Linked DNA regions of Cricetulus griseus. The protein of the gene in region 1 interacts with the protein of each later gene in a biochemical or structural test. Links are inferred from orthologs where the notes say so. Each region holds a gene or a part of one and is shown on either strand. Other genes may lie near its edges. The genes, in order: Mark3, Ksr1 and Cdc25c.

Region 1 (10,149 bases):
TTTGTGTCTATTCACATAAGAGCCAAGGCAGGCACAGAAGTCAGAGGGCAACCTGCAGGGGTCATTTTTCTCCTCCGTTGGGTTGACAGGGTTGGAGCTGGCACCCTCATCTGATGAGCTGCCTTGCCAGCCTCTGTTCTGCACACTTGAGGGTAAATATTTAGGACAGAATTGTGGTGTAGAGCATGCACAACTTGATGGTGTTGCTATTGTCACTAGTTATCATTAAATTGTCCTGACATGACATTAAAACGTTATTTTAAGTGTGTTTTGACTGTGTGTGTGTGCGCGCGTGTGTGTGCACACCTTGTGCCTGAGAGGCCAGAAGAGGGCATTGGATCCCCTGGAGCTGGAGTTCCAGAAGGTGCTGGGAACCTAACATAGGTTCTCTACAAGGGTCGCAAGTACATGTAACTGCTCAGCCATCTCTCTAGCATCCCCCTCCCTTTTTGAGACATTGTCTCACTATGTCATCTTGGCTGGCCCGGAACTTTCTACACTAGCTTGGTCTCAAACTCATAGAGATCCTCCTGTCTCTGTCTCCCAAGTGCAGGACAGACAGCTCAGAAAGTGAAGTGCTAGCCGTACAAGAACAGGGACCTGAGTCTCATCCCCAGAACCCAGGTTAAGAAAAGCTAGGTATGGCCGCTTTTTTTTTTTTAATAGTGGTGTCGCACGTCTTTAATCCTAGCACTTTGGAGGAAGAGGCAGGCGGAGCTCTGTGAGTTTGAGACCAGCCTGGCCTACAAGAACTAGTTCCAGGACAGCCTCCAAAACCCTGTCTCAAAAAAAAAAAAAAAAAAAAAAAGCCAGGTGTGGTGGTCTGTGCTTGTAATCCCAGGCCTGAGGGGGCAGAGACAGGCAGATCCCTGGGGCCCATTGGACAGCTAGTTTAGCCTAAATGGTGGGGAGTTCTAGACCAAAGAGCGATCCTGTCTTTCAAGACTGCTTTGCCCACCTGGGATTTTTGTGGACTTTGGGAGATCTAATTCTTCTGCTTGAGCACCAAGAGCTTCAACTGCTGAGCCATGTCCCCAGCCCCGAGTGCATTTCCGAATTGCAATGGATTTGTCACGGTGCTCAAGGTAGGTGCTGCTTTAACAGGAAGACAGGAAACAAACGGTTGTACATCTGAAATGTTAGCATGGGGGGTGGTGAGGAAAGAGGATAGGAATTTGAGGCCAAACTGAGCTACACAGCAAGACCATCTAAATAAATATATAAATAAAGGGGAGAAGAACCAGGCAAGAAACAAGAATTCTGAAAGGGAAAGCAAGGTGTCTTCTAACAACAGTTTAGGGTCTAATTGCCCCATCCTTTCCAGATAGATCTCAGATGCACAAAGTTCAGGAGCACATGCGTTCCTCTGGGGGGAGCAATGCTCTCCTCCTCCTCATGCCCTGTTGGAGCTCCTCTCCTTTCCTTTTCATGAATCACAAGCATGCCTGCCACTTCCAGGTCTTTTTTTTGTTTGTTTTATTGTTTTTTGTTTTTCGAGACAGGGTTTCTCTGTGGCTTTGGAGCCTGTCCTGAAACTAGCTCTTGTAGGCCAGGCTGGTCTCGAACTCACAGAGATCCGCCTGCCTCTGTCTCCCGAGTGCTGGGATTAAAGGCGTGCGCCACCAATGCCCGGCTCACTTCCAGGTCTTTATTGAGCCTTTACAATTCTGGGTCTTCAATTTTAAACTTCATGAAAACTAGGAAATACTAACCTTGAGGTTAAGTGCTGTCATCGTTATTCCTCACCTTTGGCATTCACTGACTCACTGTTTAATGTGCAGCACAAATGAGCAAATCCCCCTGGGGGAGGCCACATGTCCAGTTACTTCTCTGGCCGATGTGGAATGTTCTCCAGTGTCCACAGGCTTTTCCAAAGCCCCTTCCTGAGGCTGACAACCTTTTGGAGGCTTTCCTCAATTTATCAGGAAACAATGTTGAATCACCAGAATTCATCAGGGTTGAGGGGAGACCTGTTGCCATGCTGTCTAAATCTACCTGGCTCTCGCTCGCCCTTTTTGTGTTTGAATCCATCCTGCCGTTCCTCACCGCCATGCCTCTGTGTAGCCAGCCATCAACCCATCTTCAGAGTGAGCATGCCCTCTATAGGCTTCCCCTGACCCAGACCCCCAGTGAGACTGGATGCCCACACTTGGCCTCCCTGCTCTGGAGCACACTTCCAGTTATCACAATCTACATTTCAGCTGAATTGTGTGGAACAAACGCTTGATTCAGAGGAATGCCACTGCAGGTCTCTGCTTGACCAAAAAGGGAGAAAGAGAGTCACATTTCAAACAGGGTCGGCCGGTCCCCTTGAGCACACACACCCCACCCTAGGAGGGCAAGATGGGAGTTCTGAATGTATCTTAACCCTGTGTTGTTTTGTATCGGCATCCCCTGACCTCTCTGGAAGTGATACTGGTGTTTAAAGGTCTGTGTTTCACGAGGAAGGAAATGTCCCAGATACAGCAAGGCATTGGGATGCTGGGGACAAAAAACAAAACCAAAGCAAGCAAGCAAAACATAAGAAGGAAAAGAAAGCAAAGCCAAGTATAGTCACTCACAAATCTACCTATTTCTAAAGCTGTAGGAATGGGGTTTAGGTCCTTCTACTATAACCAACACAGATGATCTAGTTAAGTAGCTAACTTGTCCAGACTTTAGATCACACACTGCGTCTGCCCATCTTACCCTGAGGCTTAATGAATAATCAGTACAAGGTGGGCTATGAGTAGCGCTTTGCATTACCCCAGCTTACACAGCTTACACAGGCCCTCTTTCTCTGTACCAATGGATTCCATCCTCAGAAGACATTGAGGTGACAGGGTGAGGAGGGCTTCCAGAAGACCAGCCTATTCAGAGCTCCGGCTGCAGGTCACTCAGCCCGGCCCAAGCCTATAGCAACCTCACTGTCTTGGAGGCTCAAGCAGGAGAGGGAAGTAGGAAGGGAACGCGAGGGAGGGGAGCGAGAGGAGGAGTGGAGAGGGAAGAGGGAGACAGGCAGCGGTGGGAGAGTGGGGGACAGAGAAACACTGCGGTACAAGCCCCTACCGGCATTTAGTTATGGATCCCTGGGTGCGTCTTCGAGTTCGCATGCCATTCTCGCCGCCGCCTTGGTCTCTGCACTCTGTCATCCGCGCGGGGACTCGGCTGGGCCGGGTTCATGACTGGACGCTCGATGGACACCTCAGTTGTGGAGCAGGGGCCCGGCTCCTGCGCTCTCCGCCAGGCCTGTGACTGACTGCTGATGCGGTAGCTCCATCCTTGGCTGCATCCGTGGCCCGGGGAAAGCGGACTGAGCTTCTGCAAACAGCAGCATCTGCAGGCGTGGTGATGCGGCCGGCCGGGGTCAGGGCTCTGTAAACGTCGGGCCCACCCGGAGCGGTCGGGGATGCCCGGGCGCTCGGGACCGCTGGAACTCCGCTGGAGCCGCCAGGGACCAAGCCTGCGCGCTCGGCACCGCACCTCCGGCTCAGAACCAACGGGACGAGTCGCCCCTAGCAACAGCAGCCGGCACTCGCTCCCGCCGCGCTGATTGGCGGGACTCCAGGCGGCGGCGGCGGCGGCGGCGTCACTTCCGGCAGCCGGAGGCCGCGGAGGAAGCCGAGGGGCGGCCATCTTGGGTCTGTGAGGCTCCTGAGGTGCCGGGGCAGCGGCGGCGGCGGCGGCGGCAGCCGGCGGGCGAGGCCGGGCGGAAAGCGGGCGGAGAAGGGAAGGCGGCAGGGCGTGGGCGCCTCCTCCGCGGCCCCCTCCATGGTCGGCGCCTGCAGGCCGCGGCGGCCTGTCTCGCGCTTCGCCTGCGCTCCGTCCTCCTGCGCCGCCGCCTCTTCAGGGGCCGCCGGCCGCGCTGTGCGGAGCCCCGGGGCTGAGCTCCGCGGCGCCGCGGCTGCGGGAGGCTTGCGCCGCCCGCCCGCCAGCCAGGCGGCCCCCTTCCGCCGGGCTCCTCGCCGCGGCCGCCGGCCGGCGCTGGGGGAGAATGAGCCCCGGGGCCCGCGGGCGCACGGCCCGGGCCAGGCCGGGGATCTAGAGTCCGGCCGGGGAGGCCAGGCCCCGGAGGCTCGCGGCCGCTGCTCGCCGGGCGCCCGGAGCTGGGCGGTTTTGTTTTCGCCTTGGCGTTGTGCGGAGTCAAAGCGCAGTAAGATGTCCACTAGGACCCCTTTGCCAACGGTGAATGAACGAGACACTGAAAACGTGAGTGAGCGGGTGGGTGGGTGGGTGGGTGGCGGACCCTCGGGGCGGGGTGGCAGGCAGGCAGGCAGGGGCCACCCAGGCCAGACGCTGCCGGCGGGGCTCAGGGCGCAGCCCCGTCCTGCCGCGCGCGCCTGCGGCCTGCGCGCCCTCCTTACGGTCGGCTGAGCATTGCCGGCCGCGGCCGGGGCGCGTTCGAACCCGGCTCTCCTCGTGCACCGCGCGGCCTCAGAGCCCGCCTGTCCTGGGTGGGTAGGATGGTGGGATGCAGTCGGGGTCCTGGACGGCCCGTTGAAATGGGACCAAGTTAAATGACAACCGCTGAAACTAAGTGCCCCACGCGGGGGAGAGGGAGACAGACAGATAGCCTGGTGCCCCCCCCCCCCCGTAGCTTCCGAAGACAGAAGAGTAGCTGTCTGTGCTCGAGAGCCGCTGCCTTTATCAAGGAGTAGCTTCCCGTCCTGGCGAATCTTAAGTCTGCTCGGAAGCAGTAGGCTGAGAGTTTCGAGAGGCAGATGTGGCGTGAAGCTCTGCTCTGCTCTGCCCTGCTCTGTCCTGCTGCCCAGCTGAGGGACACCCACTGAGCTGGCCTTTCCTTCTGCTGCAGAGGCTCTCAGGCCCATTCCAGCGTGCACACCCAGCAAATCTATGTAAAGAAAGAATTTTGTTCGAAAGGACCTCCAGGAACAAATCAAACAGCAGCCAGGAACAGCGTTGCTAGTAGGGAGTGACAAACGTGTAGAAGTCGTATTGAAGAAATGTTAGACCTGCCCAAGTGTGTTGTCTTGAACCCTTCTCCTTTCATTGGATTCCAAAGTGTTCCGGCCCAGCTTTGTGCTCTGTAAAGCATTTAGCAAATAACTTGTAAAGAAACTTCACTGGCCTTTCATTATACAGAGCTATGAGGTAACCGCTGGCAAGAAAATGCCATCTCTTTGGAAAAGCCTCCGTGCTCCCCGGTACTCATGCTTTGCGCGCCATCCTTAGACACGGTGACCTAGTGGTGTCTGGTACCTTCATTTTAATCTTCAGAATGCCACTTGGAGCTTGATAGCTACTGAGTAATTTGTTTATGTAGCCCCTAGTCGAAGTCATCTCTGTATTATATCAATATACAATTGTATGTTCTTCCACTTGAGATAGGTTAGAAAATTACCTAGTTAAGAGAGCTTAAATTAGACCTTTCCTCTTTTCTTCCTCCATCTTCCCCGTTTCCCCTTTCCTTCTCTCTTTTTTTTTTTTCTCTCTCTGCCTTCCTTTCTTCATTCCATAGTTCTTGCTTGGGCTGCTCCAGGGAGCCTTCTGCCTCATTCTCCCCATAGCTGAGAATCAGGCTCGAATCCTGAGACCTTTTTTACATTCTTATGAGGAAACTTACCTTTGACCTGATTGATCATCATAATCTATTGCTACCTCAAAAATGAAGCAAGTAAATTGATTGATTGGCTTTGATCATTGTTTTTTTTTTTTGTTGTTGTTGTTTTTGTTTTGTTTTTCAAGATAGGGTTTCTCTGTGTAGCTTTGTAGACCAGGCTGACCTGGAACTCACAGAGATCTGCCTGCCTCTGTATCCCGAGTGCAGGGATTAAAGGCGTGTGCCACCACTTCCCCAGTCCATCAACACTTTTTAAGTGGACGTTCTAATGAGCAGTCATATAGCTACCACCAGTTAAAGATACAGAACATTTCCATTTCCCAGAAAGATCTCATTTCTGACCCTATAGCTTTACCTTTTTATTTTTGTAAGTTGGGCCATAAAATGTGTAACTTAAAAAAACAAAACAAAACAAAACAAACAAAAGAAACAATTGGGACAGGGCTAGAGAGATGGCTCAGTGGTTAAGAGCACTGGCTGCTCTTCCAGAGGACCCAGGTTCAATTCCCAGCACCCACATGGCAAGTCACAACTGTCTATAACTCTGGTTCCAGTGGATCCAATACTCTCACACAGACATACATTCAGGCAAAACACCAATGCATGTAAGATGAAAATAAATAAATCATTAAAAAATTGGGACAGTTTCACAGTGTAGCAGAGGTTGACCTCAAACTCATCCCCCTGCTTCCTCCTCTTTAGTGCTGTCATTACTAGTGTGGATGACTTCATCCACGTAACATAATGCCTTGCAGGCCTTCCTGCCTTTTCTTTTTTCTTTTTGAGACAGGGTTGACTTAAGTATCCCTGGCTATCATAATGTTTTTTGTTTGGTTTGCATGCTGCTTTTTGTTTTGTTTTGGTTTTGGTTTTTCAAGACAGGGTTTCTTTGTGTAGTCCTGGCTGTTCTGAAACTCAACTCTGTAGACCAGGCTGGCCTTGAATTCAAGAGAGGTGCCTGCCTCTGCCTCAAGAGTGCTAGAATTAAAGGCGTGCGCCACCATTGTCTGGGCAAGTAATACTTTTGAGATTTGTGTTTTCAAGTATACTAGTAGTTCATTTCTTTTTATTGCTTGTTAATATTTCATCAGATGTACCATGATTTTTTAAAAAATTCTTTTACCTGATGGTGGTCATTGGTTATTATGACTAGAACAGCTGTGTGTGTGTGTCAAAAGACATCCTAGGCATTTTAAATTTAAATGATTATATTCACTTGTGTTAAGAATACTGTTCTAGCCTTTGTGTTGCCTGTTCACCTTTGGTCACTAGTGAATGTGGTGTCAAAAAAGGCATAAATTAATGCTTTGCAGCCATTGCTTACCCTGGAGTTCAGTGTCTTGGGTGTAGGAGCTTCGTAAGTAACAGAAAATCTAAAAAAGAAAAAAAAAAAGTTGTTCATTGAATCAAGTAAGAAATGGGGCTGAGAGTGTAGCTTGGTAAGTATAGTGTTTGCCTGGCCTTTTTTATTTTTTGGTGGGGGCTTCTTTTTGAGAGTATGTCTCACCATATAACTGGCTGGCCTGGAACTACCTATGTAGACCAAGCTGGCCTCAACTCAGAGAGACCCACTTGCCTCTGCCTCTTTAGTGCTGAGATTAAATTTGTGGACAGATGCATCCTAGCTTTTAAGAAGCTTTGGCTTTTATCTGTAGTGTAAAAATAAATAAAGATAATTTGTAACAATATTTTTTCCCTCCTTATACACTATTTTTTTTTTTTTTTACCCCGAGATAGGCTTTCTCTGTGTAGCTTTGGAGCCTATACTGGCACTCACTCTGGAGACCAGGCTGCCCTGGAACTCACAGAGATCCACCTGCCTCTGGCTCCCGAATGCTGGGATTAAAGGCGTGCGCCACCAATACCCGGCCATATACACTATTCTTTTCTCAGGTGTTTGATTTCCACATTACTATTTATCTTTATGGATAGGAATATAAATGTTCACTGTAGCTCAGAAAAACTAGTTAAACATTTGGGTCCAGAAGATGATATGTCCAGCCTCCTAGAACTGGAATTTTAGGCGGTTGTAAGTCACCCAGTGTGGGTGCTGTGAACTCAGCCTGGGTCTACAAGACTTCATAAGAATTCAGCCATCTCTCTGACCCAAAAATAGAATGCTTTTTAAAGATGAAAGAAAGTTTAGCTTTCATTTTATGTTTTATAGTTGATTTGCATAGAGATCTGTTTAGTAAATCCTCTTTTTATATTTGACAAATTAGAAATGAATTTTTCACTTAGATTTCAAAGCGTTCGGCACTTTCTAAGCCTGGATTGTTTGCTAGAGGACTGGAGGTAGAGGTTTGCTAGTTAACAGCTCTAGATATTTACTTACTGTTTAATGTCTCTGTGGCAGTGGTCCTCAACCTTGGGTCTCCACCCACTTGCCAAACCTCTGACTCTGAAACTATTTACATTATGATTCATAGTAGTAGCAAAATTACAGTTATGAAGTAGCAGCAAATATAATTTTATTTTTGGGGGTTCATCGAAACATGAGGAACTGTATTATTAAAGGGTCACAGCATTCGTAAGGTTGAGAACCAACCTCTGCTGTCCTGGAATTCTCTATATAGACCAGGCTGGCCTCAAACAGAGATATTCCTGCCTCTGTCCCCCAAATGCTCAAACTAAAGGTGTGCCCTACCACACCAGCTACATCAGGTGTTCAGCAGTTAGTATAGCATGGTCACATCATTACTTCTGTGAACTTAACTAGTGGAGGTGATGTCTAGCCAGCTGTTGATTGGGTGACACTGCATTAACCTGTGAACAAATTGGAATGCGTACAGCAGCCTATGAAGCTGTGCTGTGGAGGGTGTACTGAACACCTGAGAACCAGATGGCTCCTGTTAGGACCTGCTTGTCCAGCAGAGCAAAGTACCCAGGCTTTGTGGAACTAGTCTGTACTGTCTAACCTGAGCAGACATACCTGGAGGGCTGCTGGTGCTGACATGCTCATCTCTAGTTCTCACCTCAAAGCTGGCTGCTTCCCGCCAGGTTCCAAGACAATGATCAGGCACACCCAGGGACCACACTTTAGAAATTTTCAGCTGGCTAATTAGGCTTTTGGTTATCTAGGTTTTTACAAGAGATTTTTTCCAGATTCTATGAGTGTTTTTTTGTTTTGTTTTGTTTTTGTTTTTAAGACAGGGTTCTACCATGTAGCTTTGGATGGCCTGGAATGGCCTATTTAAATTGGCTGACTTCAAACTCTGTATGAGTTTTCATGAGTCACTTTAAAAGAAGGTGTGCAAGCTGGCAGTGTGGTACACTCCTTTAATCCCAGCACTCAGGAGGCAGAGGCAGAGGCAGAGGCAGGAGGATCTCTAAGTTTGAGGCCAGCCTGGCCTACAAAGTGAGTTCTAGGACAACCAGGGCTATTACATAGAGAAACCCTGCTCAAAAAACTTAAAAAAAAAAAAAAACAAGTAAAAAAGAAAGTGTGATTGTGGACTATAGGAATAGTTACTCTTGTTCTTATTTCACTATATTCAGGCAACATGTAAAGTAATTTATATAGTAGCTTATTTAAATATGTAGTATGGGGGGCTGGAGAGATGCTTCAGGGGGTAAAAGAGGACCCAAGTTCAATTCCCAGCACCCACATGGTGTCTTAAAAACAGCTGTAGTTCCAGGAGATCCAACACCCTCGGTTCACTTTGGGCACTAAGTGTATATGTGGTGCACACACATACATGGAGGCAAAACACCCATACACATAAAACAATGTAAGACTATGTCGTAGTTTGAACTGGGAGTGATATTAGCACATGCTTGCAATCCTATGGACTGCGGTGACAGAATTGTATATAATGGTCAGTTAGTTGGAGGTCAGACTGGGCAACTTAGTGAATCTTGTAAAAAAAAAAAAAATTTTTTTTTTTTTGGTTTTTCCAGAGTTTCTCTGTCTAGCTTTGGAGCCTATCCTGGCACTCACTCTGGAGACCAGGCTGGCCTCGAACTCACAGCGATCCGCCTGCCTCTGCCTTCCAAGTGCTGGGACTAAAGGCGTGCGCCACCAACACCCGGCGAATCTTGTAAAAATTTTAAAAATGACATTTATTCATTACTTTAAAGTTTTTATTTTGTGTATAGTCCCGGAAGTCAACTTTTACTTTTTACGGCGTGCGCCTTGGTGATTAAACTCAAGCTTGGCAGCAAGCACCTTTACTTGCTCAAAATTCTCACTTGCCCCAAATTATTTTTTTCTCTTTTGTAAGCTTCTTATTTTATTATTTTGTGTGTATGATTGTTTTGCCTGCCTGTCTGTCTGCACTACAAGTGTAACTGTGCCAGGAAACACAGAAGAGGTTGTTAGATCCCCATGGAGCTGGGGTTTCAGATGGCAGTTAGCTGCCTGCTGTAGTTCAAACCTGGGCCCTCTGGAAGGACAGACAGTGCTCTTAAACCAAACCAGTGGTTCTCAACACGTGAGTCAGGACCCTTTTAACAAACCTCTGGTTTCAAAAATATCTACAGTACGATTCATAGCAGTAGCAAAATTACATTTATGGAATAGTGAATATAATTTTGTGGTTGGGGGGTCACCACATGAGGAACTGTCACAGCCTTAGGAAGGGTGAAAA
Region 2 (10,115 bases), on another chromosome or scaffold:
GAACTCTAGCTTCATGGATTCCAAAACCTCTCTCTGACCTCCATACGTGTCATACATATACACATAAATAAAAAAATCTAAATCTTTTTTAAAGAGAGACTATCTCAAAGGAATAAGGCAGAAAGTGGCAGACCATGACACCTGACATCCTCCTCTGGCCTCTGTCAATATGCACACAGTCCCAGGTACTCACACATACAACTGGGCACACATTACATACATACCACACTCATAGACATATACAAACACCTAAGGGCTGGGCATTCAGTTCCATGGTAAGAGTGTTTGCTTAGTATGTATGAGGAAGAAAGAAAAGAATGAAGGAAGGAAGGAAGGAACGAACAAACGAAGGCAGGCATTTCACAGTAGTATGGTGCCATACCCAATCCCAGAAACCTGAGATAAAAGGATCACTATAAAATTGAGGCCAACCTAGAAACTACATGGTGAGTTCAAAGCCAGCCTACACTATGTAAGTGTAGGCTAATACTTTCTTATCAAACAAACCCCAAGAAAGTGCACCTCTCCAGGATGATGAGCACATTATTCACATTGAAGATTGCATCCAAGTGATGCACATATTTCTTAGATTGAAAATGGCATCCAGAAAACCCAGCTCTGGGTGTGTTAGCCTAGACTTCAGCAGAAACCTGCTTGCTCCTGCTGTACTGCTGACAGGAAGGTGACTGCCAGGAAAGTAGATGTGAACCTGAGGTACAGCCTGTACCTGGCTGCAGGGTAGCACTTCCCTGATAGTGCCACTGTCAGGATGAGCACTTTTATCTTTTATCTTTTATCTCACCTTCCACCCACAGGCTTGACCTGTTGAGTCTGTCTCCAGCATGTGTGCTGTTTCCTTTTCCTCCTTGGCTCCTCTCTCCAGCCCTGACCATTGCAGGAGTCTCAAAACCGGGAGCTGCTGCTTCAGCCCTGGTCTTTTACGGTTTGCTCTTCATGCTGCAGATGGAGGGATTCCTTTTTTTTTTCTTTAAGCTTTTTTGCAAAATAAAATAAAAAATATAGCAGAAGCAAGATATATATATATATATTGAAATATATACTTGTATTATGTATATTATAGACATGTAAATATACACTATATAAACATATATATGACTTTCACTTTGTGTGCTTACAGAACCAAGCTTCTTTGTTTGAGACAGGGTCTCACGTAGTTGAGGTTGGGCACAGAACTCTGAAGCTGACCTTCAGTGGATTCACTTTCCTCTCTAGCACTGTGCTGACAAGTCTGGGCTACTATACCATGCTTCTTGGTGGCATCCTACATTACATTGTGTGTATGTGTTTAATTTAGATTTATTTTTACTTTTACTCGTGTGTGTGTGTGTGTGTGTGTGTGTGTGTGTGTGTGTGTGTGTGTGTGTGTATGCACATGCACATGTGGTCAGGTGCTCAAGGATGGCAGCCAAGAGGCTGACATTTTTCTAGTCTCCAGCCCTGCTGCTGACGTCATAGTGGCATGGGTAGTCATGAATGCCACAGGCTGTAGGACAGCAGGGGTCTTTGTCAGGGTATGGGGGAAAAAAGTGGGCCTGAGAGCTGGGGAGATGTCTCATTTGGTAAAGTGCAATCCTAAGGACCTAAGTTTGATGTCCTAACCTCCATGTAAAAGGTGGGATAGCAGTGCATGCCTGTAATTCCCGAGGCTCATTAGCAAGCTAGACTAGCAGAACTGGCTACCCCTGGGGTTCAGTGAGAGATCCTGCCTCAAAACAATAAGGTGAAGAGTGATTGAGAAGTCCAGCCCATCCACTTTCTGCACTGTGGCTTCTTAAAGCATGGTATCCACACTAGCAGCATCAGTACCACCCAAGAATTTGCTAGAAATGCAAATTCTCAAGGCCCAGGCTTGGATCTATAGATCAGGAAACTACAGGCTCTGGGGCTATCATTGGAGGATGAGCAAGTCCTCCAGTTGACTGTGATGCTTGTTCAAGCTTGAAAAACACCATTGCAGTTTTATTTCAGGGTAGTCATTTCTCTAATGCAGGGTCTGAAGTGGGGCTAAGGTAGTTGTCAGGGCTGGGGGATTTGTCAGTACAGCACAGGGGTCTTGTTCATGCCGAGTGAGGACTGCTGTATCATCATTGTCCTTTGAGACAGGGTCTCACTATATAGTTTAGGCTGGTCTCAAGTGAGGAGTCCTCCTGCCTCAGCCTCTAGAGTGCTGGGATTACAGGCATGAGCTACCACACGTCGCTGAAACTGTGACTGTTTTTTGTTTTTGTTTTTCTGAAACAAGATTTCCTCTGTGAAACAGTCCTGGCTGTCAGTGATAGTTTTGATGTGTTAGGTTAATTTTACTTTATTTTTATTGTATTTATTTACTTTTTCCTTTCTTTCCTTCTCCTTCTCTTTCTCCTTCTTCTTCTTTTGATTTTTCCAGGCAGGGTTTCTCTGTGTAGCTTTGGAGGCTGTCCTGGAGCTCTCTCTGTAGACCAGGTTGGCTTCGAACTCAGAGATCTGCCTGCCTCTGCCTCCTGAGTGCAGGGATTAAAGGCATGCACCACCACCTCATAGCTGCTTAATTTTATATTATATATATGAGTGTTTTTGCCTGCATGTATGTGACTGCATAAGTTAAAAGGCTTCAGAACCCCTAGAACTTGAATTACAGATGGTTGTAAGCCATCATGTAGGTTCTGAAAACAGAACTCTGGACCTCTGCAGGAGCAAGTACTCTTAACTGGTGAGCTATCTCTTTGCCCCACTCCCCTCTTGAGGTAAGACCTGACTAGATATATAACCCAAGCTGGTCTTGAATTCACTATGTAAAAACTAGGTTGGTCTTGAACTCACTGAGAGGCTCCTGACTCTGCCTCTGGAGCTCAGGGATTAAACATGTGTGCCACCACACTTTGCTTCGTTTTTCCTTTTTTACATTGGTAGATGAGACGGACTAATAGGAGAGTGAACAGGTGTGATGAGGCTTAAATGCTGGATCTTTAAGTCCTGGGAAATACTGCTGCTGTGGCCACTGAAGGCTTGCTCAGGGTCTAATTCAGGAAGTCTGAGTTTATAAAAGAGCTAACGTTTATACATGGCCACACGTGCCAGTAATTAATCTGAGTGCTGTGCAAACATAACCTCCTTGTTTTAGAAACCTGGGTTAGGTGGCTACTACCTCATCTAATGTGAAATGAAAAGCCATTTGTCCGAGTTCATGTAACAGGCAGTGGAGTAGTGGGAACCAAATTTGAACTCAGGTTCTATCTGCTTGGAAACTCTTAGGAATGTCTAACAAATTGATGTGCTGCTCACATGTCATCTGCAGGGTATTAGATGTTAAACTTATTTGTTGAGTAAATAGAATACAGAAGAAAGTCCTTTCTCTTTGCCTGTCCATTACTTTGGTATAGACCATTCAGGGTCAAAGTCTATGGGAACCAAACACAACTCAGGGTCAAGTGTTGTGAGAACTAGTTGAGGGTGTGTGTGTAGGGTGGTGGTAGTGTCCTTTTCTTTTCCCTCGAATCAAACCTAAGGCCTTATCTTTGCCAAGCAAATGTTCTGCCGCTGAGCTACATTCTTAGCATATTCCCCTATATGGAGGTCCCTAAGCTCCCGCAAAAATTTGGGACCCTCAATATCCCACATTACAGGGCTCATCTGGGTGTAAGCCATCAGACCCTGCCCCACCCTATTCACCGGTGGTGGGAAGCTACTAACGTGTGTGCGGTTGCATGCGTGAGAAGTGGGTAGTAGTGGGAGGTGGGGGTTAAAGGAATTGAGGAGGATGAGGAACCGGGTTCCCAAGACCACGAGCCACAGGAATTGGAGCAGGCGCAGAGCAGCCCCTCCTAAACGTCAGGCGGGGCCAGAGTGCGGGCGGGGCCCCGAGGGCGCGGGCCTGGAGGCAGATGGTGCGGCGCGGACTACAAGTCCCAGCATGCCCCGCGGTCTCGATCCGGCCCCCGCGGCCGCTTAAAGGCTCCAGCAACCGCAGCCGTCGGGTCGCGGAGGCTTTCACTTTGCCGCCGCGTCTGGTCGGCGGGAGGAGCGGACTGGGCGCCTGGCTTTCAAGACTTCTGGCTTTGGCAGCGCCGAGGGGCGCTCCTAGTGCAGCCCTCCCGGCTTGAGACTTCTCCGCCGAGGCGCCCGTGCCCCCGGGCTCCTCGCCTCGGCCCCCAGCGGCCCCGATGCCGAGGCATGGATAGAGCGGCGTTGCGCGCGGCGACTATGGGCGAGAAGAAGGAGGGCGGCGGCGGGGGCGCCGCGGCGGCCGCGGACGGGGGCGCAGGGGCCGCGGCCAGCCGGGCGCTGCAGCAGTGCGGCCAGCTGCAGAAGCTCATCGATATCTCCATCGGCAGTCTGCGCGGGCTGCGCACCAAGTGCTCTGTGTCCAACGACCTCACGCAGCAGGAGATCCGGACCCTGGAGGTAAGGGGCCGCGGCGCCCGTGGTCCCGATCCCGCTGTGCCCCGGGAGCCGCCCCGCTGCTTTCCTTCCCGAGTTGCATCCTGCAGCCGGGTCTGCTGGCTAGAGTCTTCCTCCCTTGCTGAGCTCGCTGATGCTGTGCCATGAGGACATACGACCAGCTCTCGCTTTGGAAGGATTTGGGGGAAGGGGTGTTGGGGGGGGGGTTGTGTCCAGGCTCGAGGACCCGCGTGTGGGCAAGGATGTTCACGGGCATCCCATTGCAAACCCCTCTCCACCCTCACCCCATTTCCAGTGCCCATAGTAGTCATTGTCCCACTGAATCACGCGCTGGACTTTTCTCGGTGTGCTTAAGCCCGGTAGCGTGGGCTGGGGTGATGGAGGGACGTCCCCTGAAGTGTGAGCATCGGCCGGTGGCACTGACTTTCCCTCACTACCCACTCTCCTTGTCCCGTTGCCCTTTCCTTTCCTTTCCATCAGGTCTTGTCTGCCGCTTTTCAAAAACTGTTTGCTGAAACAGCATTTTTGCTGTTCAGGCGTTGGAGTGCTTTTCTTTCGCGATGTCACAACGGTTCACTGCTTAAAATGAAATTACCCATTGATTTCCCCGCTCTGCCTGAAACATCGGGCTTTGGCCTAGGAAAGATTATAGTGGTGAAGGGAACCTTTGGTAAGAACACACTACTTGAGGGGGTTGCTGATAGTGATGACCTGGAGTGCAGTGAAAAATAAGATGTGTGAGCTGTCTTCTGTCAAATTATAGCTGGGAAGTGGAGCATTAAGAGGATTTGGAAGAACCAGCCAGCAAGGTGGTTGGGATTTCAGAAGGGAGAGCTCCCCCACCCTTACACATTGGAGGAAAAACTAGTGCCTTCCCAGCTTGCTTCCAGGGACTGGGAGACCTTTGAAAGTGAAGGGCCAGTTAATAGGTCTGCCCTGAAGAAGGACGTTTTCTTACCTGGCATTACCACATCTGTGCTTCTGTAGGTCTGAGGATGTCTGTTTTTATTAGATATGTGATTTTACACACACACACACACACACACACACACACACCATTGCTAAATGCATCTGCCAGATGTCATAGAGCCAGCCAGTAATTGCTGTAATTATTACAAGACCAGTCCACCCTTCTCTCACACCACAAGCCTGAGTCCTTGTTTGATCCAAAATGCTCAGGGTGACTCCCTTAGCTGTATTTTCAGAAAAGCCACAAAGCCAGGGACGTTGGGAGACTCCAACCAGTGCTGGCTATTATTATTGTTTTTTGTTATAGTTGCTATAGCAGGACTGACCAGGGCTTTGCTTATAAAACAAACCAACAAAGCTCTGCACCAGGCTTTTCTGCATGTGGATTTCTTGAACACAGCTGAGTGTGTATGCCCCACATAGTTCAGTTTTTAAGCTGATACAATAGGAGGCCTGTGTGTCTTAGTTCCGGGGTCGTTGTCCAGCAGTGTATGTCTTTTGAACTGCTGTGTTGCTGGGTGGAGAGAATGTTCTCTGTGTTAGCCTCTGTGGTCCTCCTCAAGTCTTTTTGAGGTGCTCCTGGATCCCAGGGTGTATGTAGAATGGCTTACTTTGTATTCTCTGCAAATTCTCTTTGTCTTCTAATGTTGCACATTTTGACAAAGTTGTGGCATTAGGATACCTCAGAGTTTCCAGCTGTTCAGGCCCCTGAGCTGGTTAGGCAGCAGCCTCCCCACTGTGTGCATTGTGAGGTCAACCCTGGTGGCATTCAAAGGCCCAAGGGTCATTTGCAGAATGAGCAGGACAAGTGCCCTGTTCTTTGCAGTGTATTTGAAGGACCCTTCTGGTCCCTGAAAAGACAGGACTTTAGGTGGCATTTCATGGGGATTTTGACCTTGGAGCTGGTTCCCCAGGACTGCTACCAGCTAGTTTGGGTGAATCACATCATCCCTGGGGCCTCAGCTTCCCCATCTGCTTGGATGAGGTTGGAGTGGTTCCCTTCAGGCTGTTTCTGAAAAGCTTTGCATTCTGTGGTTTAGAGTGTGTGTGTGTGTGTGTGTGTGTGTGTGTGTGTGTGTGTGTGTGTATACAGTTGGATTGAGTTAAACATTTGTGTATGCTATTCTATGTTGATGTCCCTGTTTAAGAACAATACTAAAAACCAGATGTACTGGACAGATTGTGTAGGAGATGCCTTTATTATTGTGAGCATCTTGACCGCAGGAGTGCTAGGGAACAGAAGGCCCACACAGCTTTATAATTGGTCCTGTTTCTGTCTAGATGACCTTGGGCAAGCCTGATAACTTCTCTCAAACTTCCCATCTGTAGAGTGGGGATGGAGTCCTTTCGCCTGTGTTAGATGGAGTCTGTGTCTGCCCTGCTATCAAAAACCTGCCTATAAACTTTCCCTGGTTGGGGTCTGCTGACATTCATGCACAGGGTACCTTTAGAAGAAGCAGCACACAGAATTCATTTTCCACAGGTGATGGCACAGGGCAGGAAGCAATCCCAGAAGGCTGGCTCAGAGCAGCCTTGTAGCATGTAGAAAGGCAAATAACTTGGGACAGTTTCACTGCCCTCTTGAATTTCTGATTTTTTAAAAATGTGTTTGTGTGTGACTTTATGTGTACCACATGTGTGCAGGAGCCCGAGGAGGCCAGAAGAGGGCATCAGATGCCCTGGAACTGGAGTTGCAGGTTAGCTGCCATGTGGGTGCTGAGAAATGAACTTGAATCCTATGCAAGAGCACTAAATTCTTTTTAACTTCTTGCTGAGCCACCTGTCTAGCTTCAGATTTCTGAGTGTGTGTGTGTGTGTGTGTGTGTGTGTGTGTGTGTGTGTTTGTGTGTAACCTTGAGATAGGTCTTATATAGCCCTGGCTGAACTCAGGATATAGATTAGGCTGAAAACTCATGGCTATTGTCTGGACTCTGTCTCCTGAGTGCTAGGATCACAGGTGTCTGACTGGAGAGCTTGTCCTTTACAGCTATGTCAGACTTCTGGCAGAATCTCAAGAGGCCCAGCCCACTTTGGCCCTCCTTAGCTAAACTCCTGTTGAGAGAGGCAGCTTGTGGGATGTCCCCCGTGGGCCCCTGACCAGGGGCAGATGGCTTGTGAAGATCCCAGATCATGATGACATGCTATCTGCTGATGGCTTTGCTCTGTGGAGCAGTATGACTTGGGTTGAAAAGGGAATTAAAAGGGGTGGGGAGTGTAGTGTAGCTCCATGGTAGAACGTTTGCCTTGTATATATAAGGCCCTGTGTTTAAATCTCCAATACTGCATTTAAAAGGAGGAGAAAGAAGTCAAGATTTAATGTTTGCTTCCTACCTGCCCAGCTGTGTGCTGACCTCCTCTTCACCTCTAGGATCTCCTGGAGCTCATCACACACATTTCCCCTGTCTAAATGGAAAGGGCAGGAGACACAACCAGAACTCAGTGTTTCTGGAATGAGGTTGCAGGGCTGTGTCATCAGGTGCCCTGTCATCTGGTGCCCTGTTTCTGGAAGCCCCTCTAGAGGCCTGATTACTACATGAAGCCAGGGGTGTGGGAGCTGTGCGCATGGAGGGACACCTGGCCTGCTGCACAGCTGGACCTGCTGGTGCCATCTGTGGGTCCCTGTGGGCTCCGTCTCTGCACTGGGGAGACAGTGGTGTACAATGCAGATGCATGCTCACTCTGTCGGCGCTCTGTAGCGCCTCCCAGAAGCTGTCTCTGCCTTGACTCAGTATCTTATCCTGGTCATAGGGTCCCTAAAGGGCTTTGCTCATGAGTCCTTTCTGGGGAAGGGCTATCAGAAAAAGTTATGGGTAAAGTCTCTGCTTTTGGCCACTTCCCTGAGCAGTTAGTTGCCCTGAAGCAGAGTTACCCAGGAGGCTTTGCTGTGTCTGTGCTAGGCAGAGTTCAGATTCTTCGGTGTTAGGACCTGGTTTCCTCATGGCACCTGAAGTACCCAGTGAAACTACCAGGAGTGGAGGGATGTGTTCACTGACCAGGCCCTCCATCACTGCTTATGGCAATCCTAGCTGGACTCTGGTAGGTGGGGTCTTTGGATGTGAGGGGCATGTTTCATCTAAAGAGGTAACCAGACAGGTGAACAGCAGGGACTCCACTACCATGACTGGCCGAGAGCTTTTTCAAGTGGGCCCTGAGTTAGGAATATCGTAGAAGCAGTCAGTCTGACTTACTGGTTCTGTAGGAAACATTGCCAGAGTCTTGGTGGCTGTTCTCAAGTCAGATGTCCCAAGAAAGATGTGACTAGAACCTGGTTCCTTTTTCTAACCCAGCTAGTGTCTGGAGAGTGACATTTCTGCTTCCATTTTAACCTTTTTGCCTGAGAAACTCCAGTTATCACCAAACGGACATGGAGCTGAGGGCCTGTCTCTTTTGGTGTCCACTTTCACCTTGGTGACTTTTAACCTGGGCAGACCCACTTCTCAACTGTCCCTCAGAAGAGACCTGAGGAGGAGGTTCTGTTTGTGAAGGCCGTGAGCCAAGCAGGGCTGGAGTGCTGGAGGGAGACCTTATTGCATCTGCACCCAGGACCTGGAGGCCGGGGTTGCTGCCTGGGATAGAGACGGAACACCTCCTAGCTGCAGGGCTGTTTCTTCTCTCAGACACCTGGTTTGGCTCATAATCCTGGGAAGCAGCATTCCATACCAGATGCTTCCCTGCTTGCTTGCTGGCTGTAGTCCAGAGAGGGACCATGCACAAAGGTGCTGGCCTGAGGTGACACTGACAGTGTCTGCAAATGTGTGGGTAACAAAACCTTGAGTCCTTAAGCTGAACTTTAAAAGCTCTTCATTACATTTGTTTATTTACAGCATGCTTGGGGAGGTCAGAGCACAAGTCTGTCTGGTCATTTCTCTCCTGCTACCATGTGGGTTCAGAGAATCGAACTCAGGTTATCAGGCTTGGCTGAAAGCCCTTTTACTCCCCTGAGTCATCTTGCCAACCCCCTAAGCTGGTTTTTTTTTTTTTTTTTTTTTTTTTTTATGTCCTCCCAGGGCAGACTGTCTAGTCCCATTTTTACATTTAGTTCAGAGGGTGTTTGCTTTCACTTGGTGACTTTTACTTTGGATGGATCCACTTCCCAAATGTCCTTCAGAGGAGGCCTAAGGAGGATATGCTGTTTGTGAAGGCTGTGGGCCAAGGAGAGCTGGGATGTATGGACCAGGACCTGGAGGCTGGGGTGCATGGACCAGGACCTGGAGCCAGGATGGAACACCTCCTGGCTGTGGCTGTACCAGCGTTCATGCGAGTGACCTCCACAAAGAGAGGGTCCACATACATGAGGAACATCCTTGAACATACTCTGTGAAGTCCTCTAGTGGGCCCTTAACATATGCTTTCTTACAATGATCATTTACCTGAGAAATTTCCTTCCCAGTTTGAAGATGAGGCAGCTGGAGCTAGGAGAGCCAGAGAGCCTGAGTCGGTGGATATAGTTGAATCTCAGTTGACTGGCATTGAACTTGCAGTGATCTGTCTGTCTTAGCATCCCCAGGGCAGAAATGTCAGGCATGTACACCACATCCCAGTCTTGAGAACTCATGTTGCAACTTTTGCAGTTGCTTGTAGAAAAGCTGCTGTTGGGAGGGTTGGGAGAGGGGTTCTGGTCAGTCATGAAGGACTGGCCCAGGACTGGCTCTGTTCCAGTGCATTGCTGAGCGACTGCCCTGTGTAGCCTGGAGTTTGAATGTTGGGTGGCTTCCCTCCCATTCAGCTCAGCACATCCCCAAAACAGG
Region 3 (10,036 bases), on another chromosome or scaffold:
TGGGATTATAGGCGTGCGCCACCACCGAAATTAAATGAACAAAGAATTATGAAATACATTCATATAATGAAAACATCACAGTAAAACCCATTCCTTTGTACACTAACAAAGAAAATAAGAAACATGGTGCCAACAAGATGGCTCAGTAGGTAAAAACGCTTGCTGGGGGAGAGGGGTGATGATCACGAGAGATCTCCAGGAGAGCCTATGCTAGAAGCAAAGAACCAACTTTTGCAAGTTATCCTCTGACTTTGGCAGGCACATTTGTACTCACACAACTCACACATTCAATGATAAAAACAGCAAAACTAAGACTTTAGAAAACAAGAAACATGGACAAGCTTTCAAAGTCTTCTGGGCTAAGACCTTTCCTACTTGAGAGAAATCTCAAACTTATTTTTAGGGCCTAGATTTCGGGAGAATTGGTCATTCTTCACCTTTGCTAGAGCACTTGGTTTCCAGTTCTCTTTCCATCACTTGACAATGAGCTACAGCCATTTGGTTGACATTCTTGTTGCGACCACCCACAGATGCACTCACTTGGGGGACCTGCTGCAGAAAGCACTGGTAACCAGGTGTGCACTTGCCATAAACTAGCTACTTCTACCTCTGCTGCAGGACCACTTCATCTGTCTCGACTTCCCACCTGCAGAGAAGTAGACGGTGCCTCAAAAAGTATGACTATAGCCATCAAAGCAGAAATAAACACATCTCATACTCCCTTAAATCCCAGCCTTATTTTCCAACTTACCTGGCATGACAAGGCTCTGTGATGACTCCCACACTTACCATCTCTGTCCTAGAGGACAAAGACTTTTTACACACCCCCTTTCTGGGGGAGCAGTTTCTGCAGATAAAAGGATATTAATATAGAAACAGGATGAATATCCTGCATCTTTCAGCCACTGTCACCACCAAGACCCTCATGGCAGATAAAGGTTTGGGTTGGTTTGTTTTGAGACAGGGTATTTCCCATTTCCCATAGCCCTGATTGGTGGTTTGAAATTAACTAGCATCCACATTGTAATGATTTTCCTACCTTGACCTCCAAAGCTCTGAGATTGCAGGAGTGAGCCAAGTGCAGCTTTTTTTGGGGGGGGGAGGGGAGTATGAGATGAGGTTTCTCTGTGTAAAAGCACTACCTGTCTTGGAACTTCCTCTTCCTTCTGCATGCTGGGATTAAAGGTATACACCACCACCATCACTGTTTTTTTTCCTTTTCATATGTGTGTGGGGTGTGTATGAGTATGTCTGTTCACATGTGTGGATACATATGTGTGCTTGTGCATTAGATCAGAGACTGAAGGCAGGTGTCTTCACCTTGTTTTTGTTTTTGCTTTTTTTTTTTTTTTTTTTTTTTCCGAGACAGGGTTTCTCTGTGGCTTTGGAGGCTGTCCTGGAACTAGCTCTTGTAGACCAGGTTGGTATCGAACTCACAGAGATCTGCCTGCCTCTACCTCCCGAGTGCTGGGATTAAAGGCGTGTGCCATCACCGCCTGGTTGGTGTCTTCACCTTGGTTGGTGTATATTAAAGTAGGGTCTCTCACTTGAACCCAGAGCTCACAGATTTGGCTAGTCTAACTAACCAGTTTGCTCCAGGTGCCTTTGCCTCCTGAAGGCTAAGATAACAGGCAGGTCATCATACTACCTAGCATTTACGTGGGTTCTAGGAATCTAAATCTGGTCCTTATGCTTGCTCTGCAAATGCTTTATTGACTGAGCCATTTCTCTGGTCCTCAAATCCAGCTTTAAAGGTTATTTTTCTGACTTTTCTTAAAAAGTGGTCTGCAAACCAGTAGCACCTGGCAGCCTTGATCATTCCTGGGCCATAATCTATATATCTATTGGTCTGTACTTAAAATAGTTCCTAAGGTTTTATGTTAAAGCATTTCGTGCCAGGCAGTGGTGGTGCACGCCTTTAATTCCAGCACTCTAGAGGTAGAGGCAGGCGGATCTTTGAGTTCAGGGCCAGCCTTGTATACAGAGCAAGTTCCAGGACAGCCTCCAAAGCTACACCAAGAAGCTGTCTCAAGCCTCCTCCCCTAGCCTCTCAAGGGCTTAGACTGCAAGCTCTCACCCCCAAGTTCCCCACATTTTCTTTGATAATGGGTCTCATTATGTAGTGAAGACTGGTAATTCTCCTTCCTCAGCCTCTGCCGAGCTGGGATTACAAGTGGGCATTGCCATACCCAGCTTAATAAATTTTAATTATGAAAAATTTCAAGATAGGTGTGGTGACACATGCCTGTAATCTCAGAATTTAGGTGATTTGGGCAGGGGAATCATGAGTTTGAGGCCAACCAGAGCTATATGCCAAGATCGTGCTTCAACTAGCCATTAAAGGGGAAAAGGAAAAGGGGCTGGAGAGATGGATCAACAGAAGAGCATTGGCTTCTCTTCCAGAGGACCTAGGTTCAATTCCCAGTGCCTACAGGGCAGGGATCTGATACCTTCACACAGACTTACATGCAGGCAAACATGAATATACATGAAATTTAAAAAAAGCTATAGAAAAGAAAAAAAGTAAAATCTATTCTGAAGCAGAGTGCAGGAAACTGGATGACTACACATGCCTGTAATCCCAGAATTCAAGTGGTTGAGGTGGAGGGATTTCAAGCTGAAGACAAGTTTAAGATAAATGACACACAAAAAGTACAGCCTAATGCTTTGCTTCTCAAGAGTATGGCCCTGGGGTCTCATACCCAGACCTACTGAATCAGAATCCACTTTCTCAGGATCTCCAGGTGATTAGTATGTACATTAAATTTCCCACCCAGACGTCACTCCTAGTCATGCCAATTATCTTATCTATACTCACGCCCACTCGCAAAAGATATGAAAGAAGAAAAACAACCTAAGAATTTCTCGGGCTCAGGGCCTGGAGAGAGTTGTGGTTAAGAGCATGTATGGCTCTTGCAGAGTTTGGTTTTTTTAGCTCCCATGTTGGGCAGCTCACACTGCCAGTAACTCCAGTACTGAGGGATTGCCTCTGACCTTCCAACTTGCACACATACAATTAAAAAATAAGTCTAAAACTAATTTCTTGAGCCAGGTAGTGGTGGCTCACGCCTTTAGTCCCAGCACTCGGGAGGCAGAGGCAGAGGCAGGTGGATCTCTCTGAGTTCAAGGCCAGAGCGAGTGCTAGGATAGGCTCCAAAGCAATACAGAGAAACCCTGTCTCGGAAAAAAAGAAAAAAAAAATCTTGGACTGGGTAGTATCAGCTAAATGACAGTAGTTGTCCAGCGTTCCCAAGGCTTGGATTCCATTCCTATTACCACCCCCACTACCACTACCATAATAACTCTCCTCCTGCCCCCCTCCTCCTCTTCCTAGCAGTGTCTCCCTCTAGCCCCGGGTTATCTGGAGCTCACTCTGTCCTCCTATTCGCACTCTCTCAAGTGCTGGGATTGCAAGCATGAAACCACACCTCTCCCCACATATAAATACAATTTTGTTAATGTTCAAAGCCGCACAAATAGCCAAAGTTTAAGATCCTTTAGAATGTCGTGAGGATTACGTCAAAACGTTCAATTCTCCTACTCTCCCTGAAAAGGAATTTCTACCCAGAAAACCTCTTGGAATGGGTCAGGGGCGGCTCAGCATCAATACACACCTGCCACGCCCCAACAACTGCCACACTGGCGGCAAATGCTCCATTTCCAGCCGAAAGCTAACAAAACTCAAGAGAAACGACGCGAGAAAGAAGCAAGGAGAAGAAAACACTTCACGCAAGAATAGTTCCTCCAGACCGTCATCGTTAGCGGGGCTCGATTCAAATCTCCCGGGGTTGCTGGGGCTGGGGGAATTGAGTACTTGAAGGGTGTGACGATTGGCCAGAGGGAGAGCCAATGAGCATCAGACTCTCTGTGTGGCGGAGATGCCTAGTCGACCAGGTACGACCCTAGCGATTGGTAAGGGGGCAGGGTCCTAGTCTCGCACGCTGATTGGCTGACGCTACTGGCATAAGGACAGTGATAGGCTGTTGAGAGAGCGGAAGGTTTGAATGGTCAGGCCTATGGCTGTTGGTCTTGCCCTTCTGCCAATTCCGGAGAGAAGCAGCAAATCTGGACCTCGAGCTAACTAGATACCATTTTAACTCGAAGACCCTCTTCTCTTCCTCAGATTCCTTCTCATTCGCTGGAGTCTTCGCTTCCGTCCAGTTCTGCAGGAGTTTCTTTCTCCAAATTCAAATCTGCCTCTAAACTGAAGGTAAGCCGAGAGCTGTGTCCGTTCGGGAATCTCGGACACCCGATTGTCCCTGCAGGGTTCTTGCGGGGACCGGAGGTCCGAATAGCCTTATCGCGTTAGGTAGATCCAATTCTTCTGGCCAAGAGTGTGAAGCTGAACGATCCGGATCAAGCCAGTCTTCTCTCCGTTCCTCCTTTGAAGGCCTGAGCTTGCCAGGTCTCTGTAAATTTTTGCCCTGAGCAGTGTGACATTCCAGCGTGTTATACTTGATCCTTTGGGGATCCTTTTGGGGGGTGCTCCTCCACCCGGGCCTAGGCAGGCACTGGAAAGGGCGGAGAGGTTGGGAAAGCTGAGTATCTGTAGTGTTTTTCTCCTAGATAGCCACCCCTCTTCTTCCGTGAAGACTCCGAAGTCATGTCTACAGGACCCTTTCCATCTGCAAGAAAAGAGGGAAGTTTTGTTTCAGCACCCAGTTTTAGGTCCAATCAAAGGAAGATGTTAAACCTACTTTTGGAAAGAAACACTTCTTTCCCAGATTTCCCCAAATCTCCAGGAGACAAACTTCTCGACTCGACAAACCTAAGCATTTTGTCTGGGTAAATTTATTTTTTTAAAGATTTATTTTTTAATGATGTGTAGACGTGTGTGTGTGTGTTCCAAACGTGGGTATGTGTTTGTGATTATAGGTGGTCTCAGAGGGTCAGAGTTTTGTACCTGCCTGAAGTTATAGGTGGTTACTCTGCCTTAAGTGGGTGCTGGGGCCCTAACTGCAGTATTCTGGAAGAACAGCAAGCTTTTTTTTTTGGGGGGGGGGGCTGTTTCTAGACAGGGTTTCTCTGTGGCTTTGGAGGATGTCCTGGAATTAGCTCTTGTAGACCAGGCTGGTCTTGAACTCAGAGATCCTCTCACCTCTGCCTCCGGAGTACTGGGATTAAGGGCGTGGGCAAACCCCAACCCTGGGGAACAGCAAACTCTTAACCATTGAGCCATCACTCCAGCCGGTAAATTAACTTTTAGTTTTATACCTTGTCTTTGGTTTTATGAACAGGTTTGTTTTCAGAATTATACTGTTTCGAGGTTCAGGGTTTGTCTCAGCCATGACCTTGAATGTGTGACTCTTTTGAGTCACATTGGGCTTCCTTTCCATGTAACAAACAATAAAAAACGTCTTTTTTTTTTTTTTTAAAGATTTATTTATTTCATATACATTGTTCTACCTTATGCCAGAAGAGGGCACCAGATTGAATTGTGGTTGTGAGCCACTGTGTAGTTGCTGGTAATTGAACTCAGGACCTCTGGAAGAGCAGTCAGTGCGCTTAACCTCTGAGCCATCTCTTTAGGGCCCCCCCGCCCCCCCGTAAGTGTCTTTTTCTAAATGGGACTTGGTGGAGGATGTTTCTGATCTCACCTTTCTGGAAGCTGAGTCAGGATGACCACAGGTTCAGCCTGGGCTACTAGTAAATTTCAAGACAACTAGTGGGCTCCAGAGTGAGGCCTTATTGCAAACAAACAAATAATAATAAGAAAAATCATTTTCTATCTTAACAGGAATAATCTTTTCCTGTCATGCCAGAATCAATGTGATGTCTATGAAGAACTCTGAAAATTCTATTATTATGTTTTATGAGTTGGTCACTTTAATTGTATCAGTTTTAGTGTTGTACTTTAGAGTCTAGTCATATTGTCTTTACACCTCGTAGCAAACAGGATTTGAGGAATAGTAGAGATTCCGAGGAGAAATTGAATTTGTGTTCAGGGTGAACGGGGTAGAGAATGTGAGGTCAAGATCCTATTTACTGGGCAGGTGAGATGGCTCAGCATGATGGGCCCAGGTTAGAGCCCCTGTCTCCTGGAGTTGTCTTCACACAAGTATGTGCTCATACAAAAAAATGTGGTAAAAATTATAAAAAGATCCCTTTAGATTCTCATTAAATAAATCCCATCTCCATATGTTGGTGAGAAGAAAATTAGTCTCACATTTTTGTTTTTGTTTTGATTTTGTTTTTTGTTTTTTTGCTTGTTCAAGACCAGGTTTTTTTTGTGTAACAGCCCTGGCTGTCCTGGAACTCACTCTGAAGACCAGGCTGACCTTGACAGAGATCCACCTGTGTCTGCCTCCCTGGTGCTGGGATTACATTACTGTAATAGAGAAAAAAGTAGGGGATTGCTTTTCTCAGCCCAATCTGAGCTATTTCCAAATAGCAGATTTATTTGGATGTTGTTTAGATCTTTGTGGTAGTAATTGAGAGTGAAGACATGATCTCTACCTTTTTTAGGATAGTACTCCCTAATGGAAATCTTGATATATTTTTATGTCTCAACAGAGGAACCCCAAAACGTTGCCTTGATCTTTCAAATCTTAGCAATGGAGAGATGTCTGCTTCTCATCTTACCACTTCTGCTGACTTTGATGAAACAGGTAGGGGGACAGTCTTTAAAGAGAAAACTAACTTTAAGATTTTTATTAAACTTTTATGTGTATAAATATTTTTGCTTACATGTATGTGTACCACATGCATGCCTGGTATCCTCAGAGATCAGAGTATAGTTGCGAGTTGGATCCCCTGGAACTGGGATTACTGACTGTTATGAGTTACCATATGGATGCTCGGAAAGGAACCTGGATCCTTTGGAAGAATAGCAAGTACACTTAACTGCTAGCCATCTCTTAGGCTGAAGAGGTGGTTCCGTCTTTAAACACTAAGACTTACAAATATAAGGAAGGAGGAAAGGACAAGGTAATAGGATAAAAATTGAAGATGGTGAAAATAGGTTAAAAAATCAGGTGTATTAGCTTATGTAAGCCTAGCACTTGGAGGGCTGAGGCCAGCCAGCGCTACTACATCCCAAAATCCTGAGAGAAAACATTTGCCTAAAATTTTGAGGTTAGTTAATTTTTTAGTTGAACGATAAATGGAAAGAGAAAATAACAGTAATAGAAATTGCTATGTAGCTGGATGGTGGTAGTGCCTGGTCTACAGAGTGAGCTCCAGGACAGCCAGAGCTACACAGAGAAACCCTGTCTCAAACAAACTTAAAAAAAAAAAATTGTTATGTATTAGAAAAAGTTCTTCACTGGGCGGTGGTGGCGCATGACTTTAGTCCCAGCACTTGGGAGGCAGAGGCAGGCGGATCTCTGTGAGTTCCACATCAGCCTGGTCTACAAGAGCTAGTTCCAGGACAGCCTCCAAAACCACAGAGAAACCCTGTCTCGGAAAAACCAAAAAAAAAAAAAGAAAGAAAGAAAGAAAGGAAGAAAGAAAAAGTTCTTCAAGGAAGGAATGTATTTTGTTGACTGATTGATTAATGGTGGAGATGAAAGTACAGTAAATATTTTTTTATATCTCAATTTAGTCTCAGATCTCAGTAGAAGCAAAGAAATTGGCCTAAAGAAATACTTTGTTCTACAAGACCCTTCATTCAATCCCCAGTACCCTCCGAACACTTTGAAATACTTTGTCAACTAATTGGGCTCTCTCTCTCCGAGTGTGTGTGTGTTTCTGAGTCTAAAAAAAGTTTTGCTAGTAGACCATTCTAATATTTGCTTTAAGTTGAGATTCCCGAGTAGCCACTTCCTTTTCTGTTTGTTTTCTTTCTTTTCTTTCTTTCTTTCTTTCTTTTTTTTTTTTTTTTAAGATTTTATTTATTTTTTAGTATGTATACAGTCTCCTGCCTACGTGCCAGCAGAGGGCACCAGATCTCATTCAAGATGATTGTGAGCCACCATATGGTTGCTGGGAATTGAACTCAGGACCTCTGGAAGAACAGTCAGTGCTCTTAACTGCTGAGCCATCTCTCCAGTCCCTCTGTTTGTTTTCTTAGGGAGGGGAGAAGATGTTGGCTCAAGATAGTTTCATGTAGCTCAGGCTGGCCTCAAACCCACTTTGTAGCCTTTGAACTTCTGATTTACCTGATTTTACCTCCTAAGTGCTGGAATTACAGGCACTTTTGTGTGTGTGTGGTTTTTCTGTTTGTTTTGTTTTTGTTTTTGTTTTTTCGAGACAGGGTTTCTGTGGCTTTGGAGGCTGTCCTGGAACTAGCTCTTGTAGACCAGGCTGGTCTCGAACTCACAGAGATCCGCCTGCCTCTGCCTCCCGAGTTCTGGGATTAAAGGTGTGCGCCACCAACGCCCGGTGCTCACCATGCTTTTATGCTGTGCTGAGGATTGAACCTAGGACTTTGTGCACGTTAGGCAAAAACTGCCAAGTAAGCTGCATGCTCAGCACATTATTCTTCATAACTGATTGCAGGTTCCTTGGATTCCTCAGGACCTCAGGATGTACAGTTAGCTGAGAAGTAAGTTCTGCTGTTAAATAGTCTGCATGCCTGAGCCTTCCCTCATCAACCACAGGTTGTCCTATGTGGACTCTGCAGACTGTGAAGTACTTCACTTGGGATATTAGTGGGCTTGGAGGCCTAGATTCTCACTTGACAGCTTTTAAGTTTTCTAGTTCTAAATAGCATTGTGAAATGCAGGCTATTTTAAACCAGCATACACAGAAATATCTTGTTTTTACGTGAAGGGAAATGGTATACTGCACTCATGCCAGGGCTTCTTCTTACACGTGAGAGGTGCCGTATTTTAGTGGCTCAGGATACAGGTTCAGGGATAAGATTGTCTAGGTTCTGGTGCTTTACTACTTCAACAGCTGGGTGTGACCCAATTTCTTAACCCATTGGATCGAACTTTCTTTCTTTATAACATGCGATAACAGTGGTGCTCTGTAAACAGCTATTGAAAAGATTAAAAGTGAGAAGGCTGGGCCACCTGAGACACTGTCTCAAACAAACAAAACACCACTCAAATCAACAATAAAAACAAACACTAATCATAGCCAGGTAATATGGTTTACATTTGTAATTCCAGAACTCAAGCCGTCAAGGCAAGATGATTGTGAGTTCAAGGCCAGCCTGGGCTGTGTGAGACACCATCTCCCATCTCTTACTTCCCCCCACCCCCCCAAAAAAAGAAAGAAAAAGAACAAAACAAAATATGTATCTAGCAAATACCAAGCATTTTATGTTTATTGTTATAACTATGATGAAGTATTTCTTGGAGATCCTAAAATATTTAGCTGGGAGTGTACATGGAATAAAAACTGATTTCAATTCAACCCTTTCAAAATTGATACTAGGTGGTGGTGGTGGTGGTGCAGGCCTTTAATCCCAGTATTTGGGAGACAGAGGCAGATGGATCTCTGTGAGTTCAAGGTCAGCCTAGTCTACAGAGCAGTTCCAGGACAGCCTCCAAAGCAATACAGAGAAACCCTGTCTAGGAAAACCAGAAAAAAAAAAAAATCAAAACTTATTAAAAGCTTTCTATGGCAGTTTTTAGGAACATGTGTAAAAATTCACTTGCATTGTTCATGTTGTCTTTGAACTGATTTTTCTTTTCTTTCTTTCTTTCTTTCTTTCTTTCTTTCTTTCTTTCTTTTTTTTTCTTCAAGACAGGGTTTCTCTGTATAGCCCTGGCTTGTCCTGGTACTCTTCAGAACATGCTCCAGAGTGCTGGGATTAAAGGATTGTGACACCACCACCTGGACTGATTTTTCTCTTTTATATTTTTTTCTTGGAGGCAGGGTCTCATTGTAGTCCAAGTATGACCTTGAACTCCTACTTCGGCCTCCTGAATGCTGGTTCTATAGTATAGTGGTAGACCACAGGCCTGGCTTTGGGTTACTGTAAATAGCCTGTGTTGTATATTCTGGGTGGAAATGGAGGAAAGGTAGAAATTCAATCATTAAAAAGAGCCTCCTGTCATCAGTGTTAGAACAGTACTAAGTCATAGATTGTTCCTGTGTAAGATGTGAGACAGGAGTGGCAGGTGTATACTGGTTGAATGCCTAG

The links.
Region 2: of the proteins of Mark3 (region 1) and Ksr1, one has a biochemical effect on the other in vitro, tested with the Homo sapiens proteins (2 studies listed by BioGRID). The link is inferred for Cricetulus griseus from reciprocal best matches to the Homo sapiens genes MARK3 and KSR1.
Region 3: of the proteins of Mark3 (region 1) and Cdc25c, one has a biochemical effect on the other in vitro, tested with the Homo sapiens proteins (3 studies listed by BioGRID, with this or other methods). The link is inferred for Cricetulus griseus from reciprocal best matches to the Homo sapiens genes MARK3 and CDC25C.

The regions. Positions count from the first base shown.
Region 1 is NC_048598.1:182,457,461-182,467,609, reverse strand, and holds the start of Mark3 (MAP/microtubule affinity-regulating kinase 3), read left to right. Parts: upstream 1-3,617; 5' UTR 3,618-3,750; coding exon 3,751-4,188; intron 4,189-6,797; exon of another isoform or gene 6,798-6,930; intron 6,931-10,149. UniProt on the Homo sapiens protein: Serine/threonine-protein kinase. Involved in the specific phosphorylation of microtubule-associated proteins for MAP2 and MAP4. Phosphorylates the microtubule-associated protein MAPT/TAU. Phosphorylates CDC25C on 'Ser-216'.
Region 2 is NC_048600.1:92,560,875-92,570,989, reverse strand, and holds the start of Ksr1 (kinase suppressor of Ras 1), read left to right. Parts: upstream 1-3,937; 5' UTR 3,938-4,170; coding exon 4,171-4,401; intron 4,402-10,115.
Region 3 is NC_048595.1:202,740,472-202,750,507, forward strand, and holds the start of Cdc25c (M-phase inducer phosphatase 3), read left to right. Parts: upstream 1-4,004; 5' UTR 4,005-4,210; intron 4,211-4,566; exon of another isoform or gene 4,567-4,570; 5' UTR 4,571-4,603; coding exon 4,604-4,785; intron 4,786-6,513; coding exon 6,514-6,608; intron 6,609-8,439; coding exon 8,440-8,485; intron 8,486-10,036. UniProt on the Homo sapiens protein: Functions as a dosage-dependent inducer in mitotic control. Tyrosine protein phosphatase required for progression of the cell cycle. When phosphorylated, highly effective in activating G2 cells into prophase.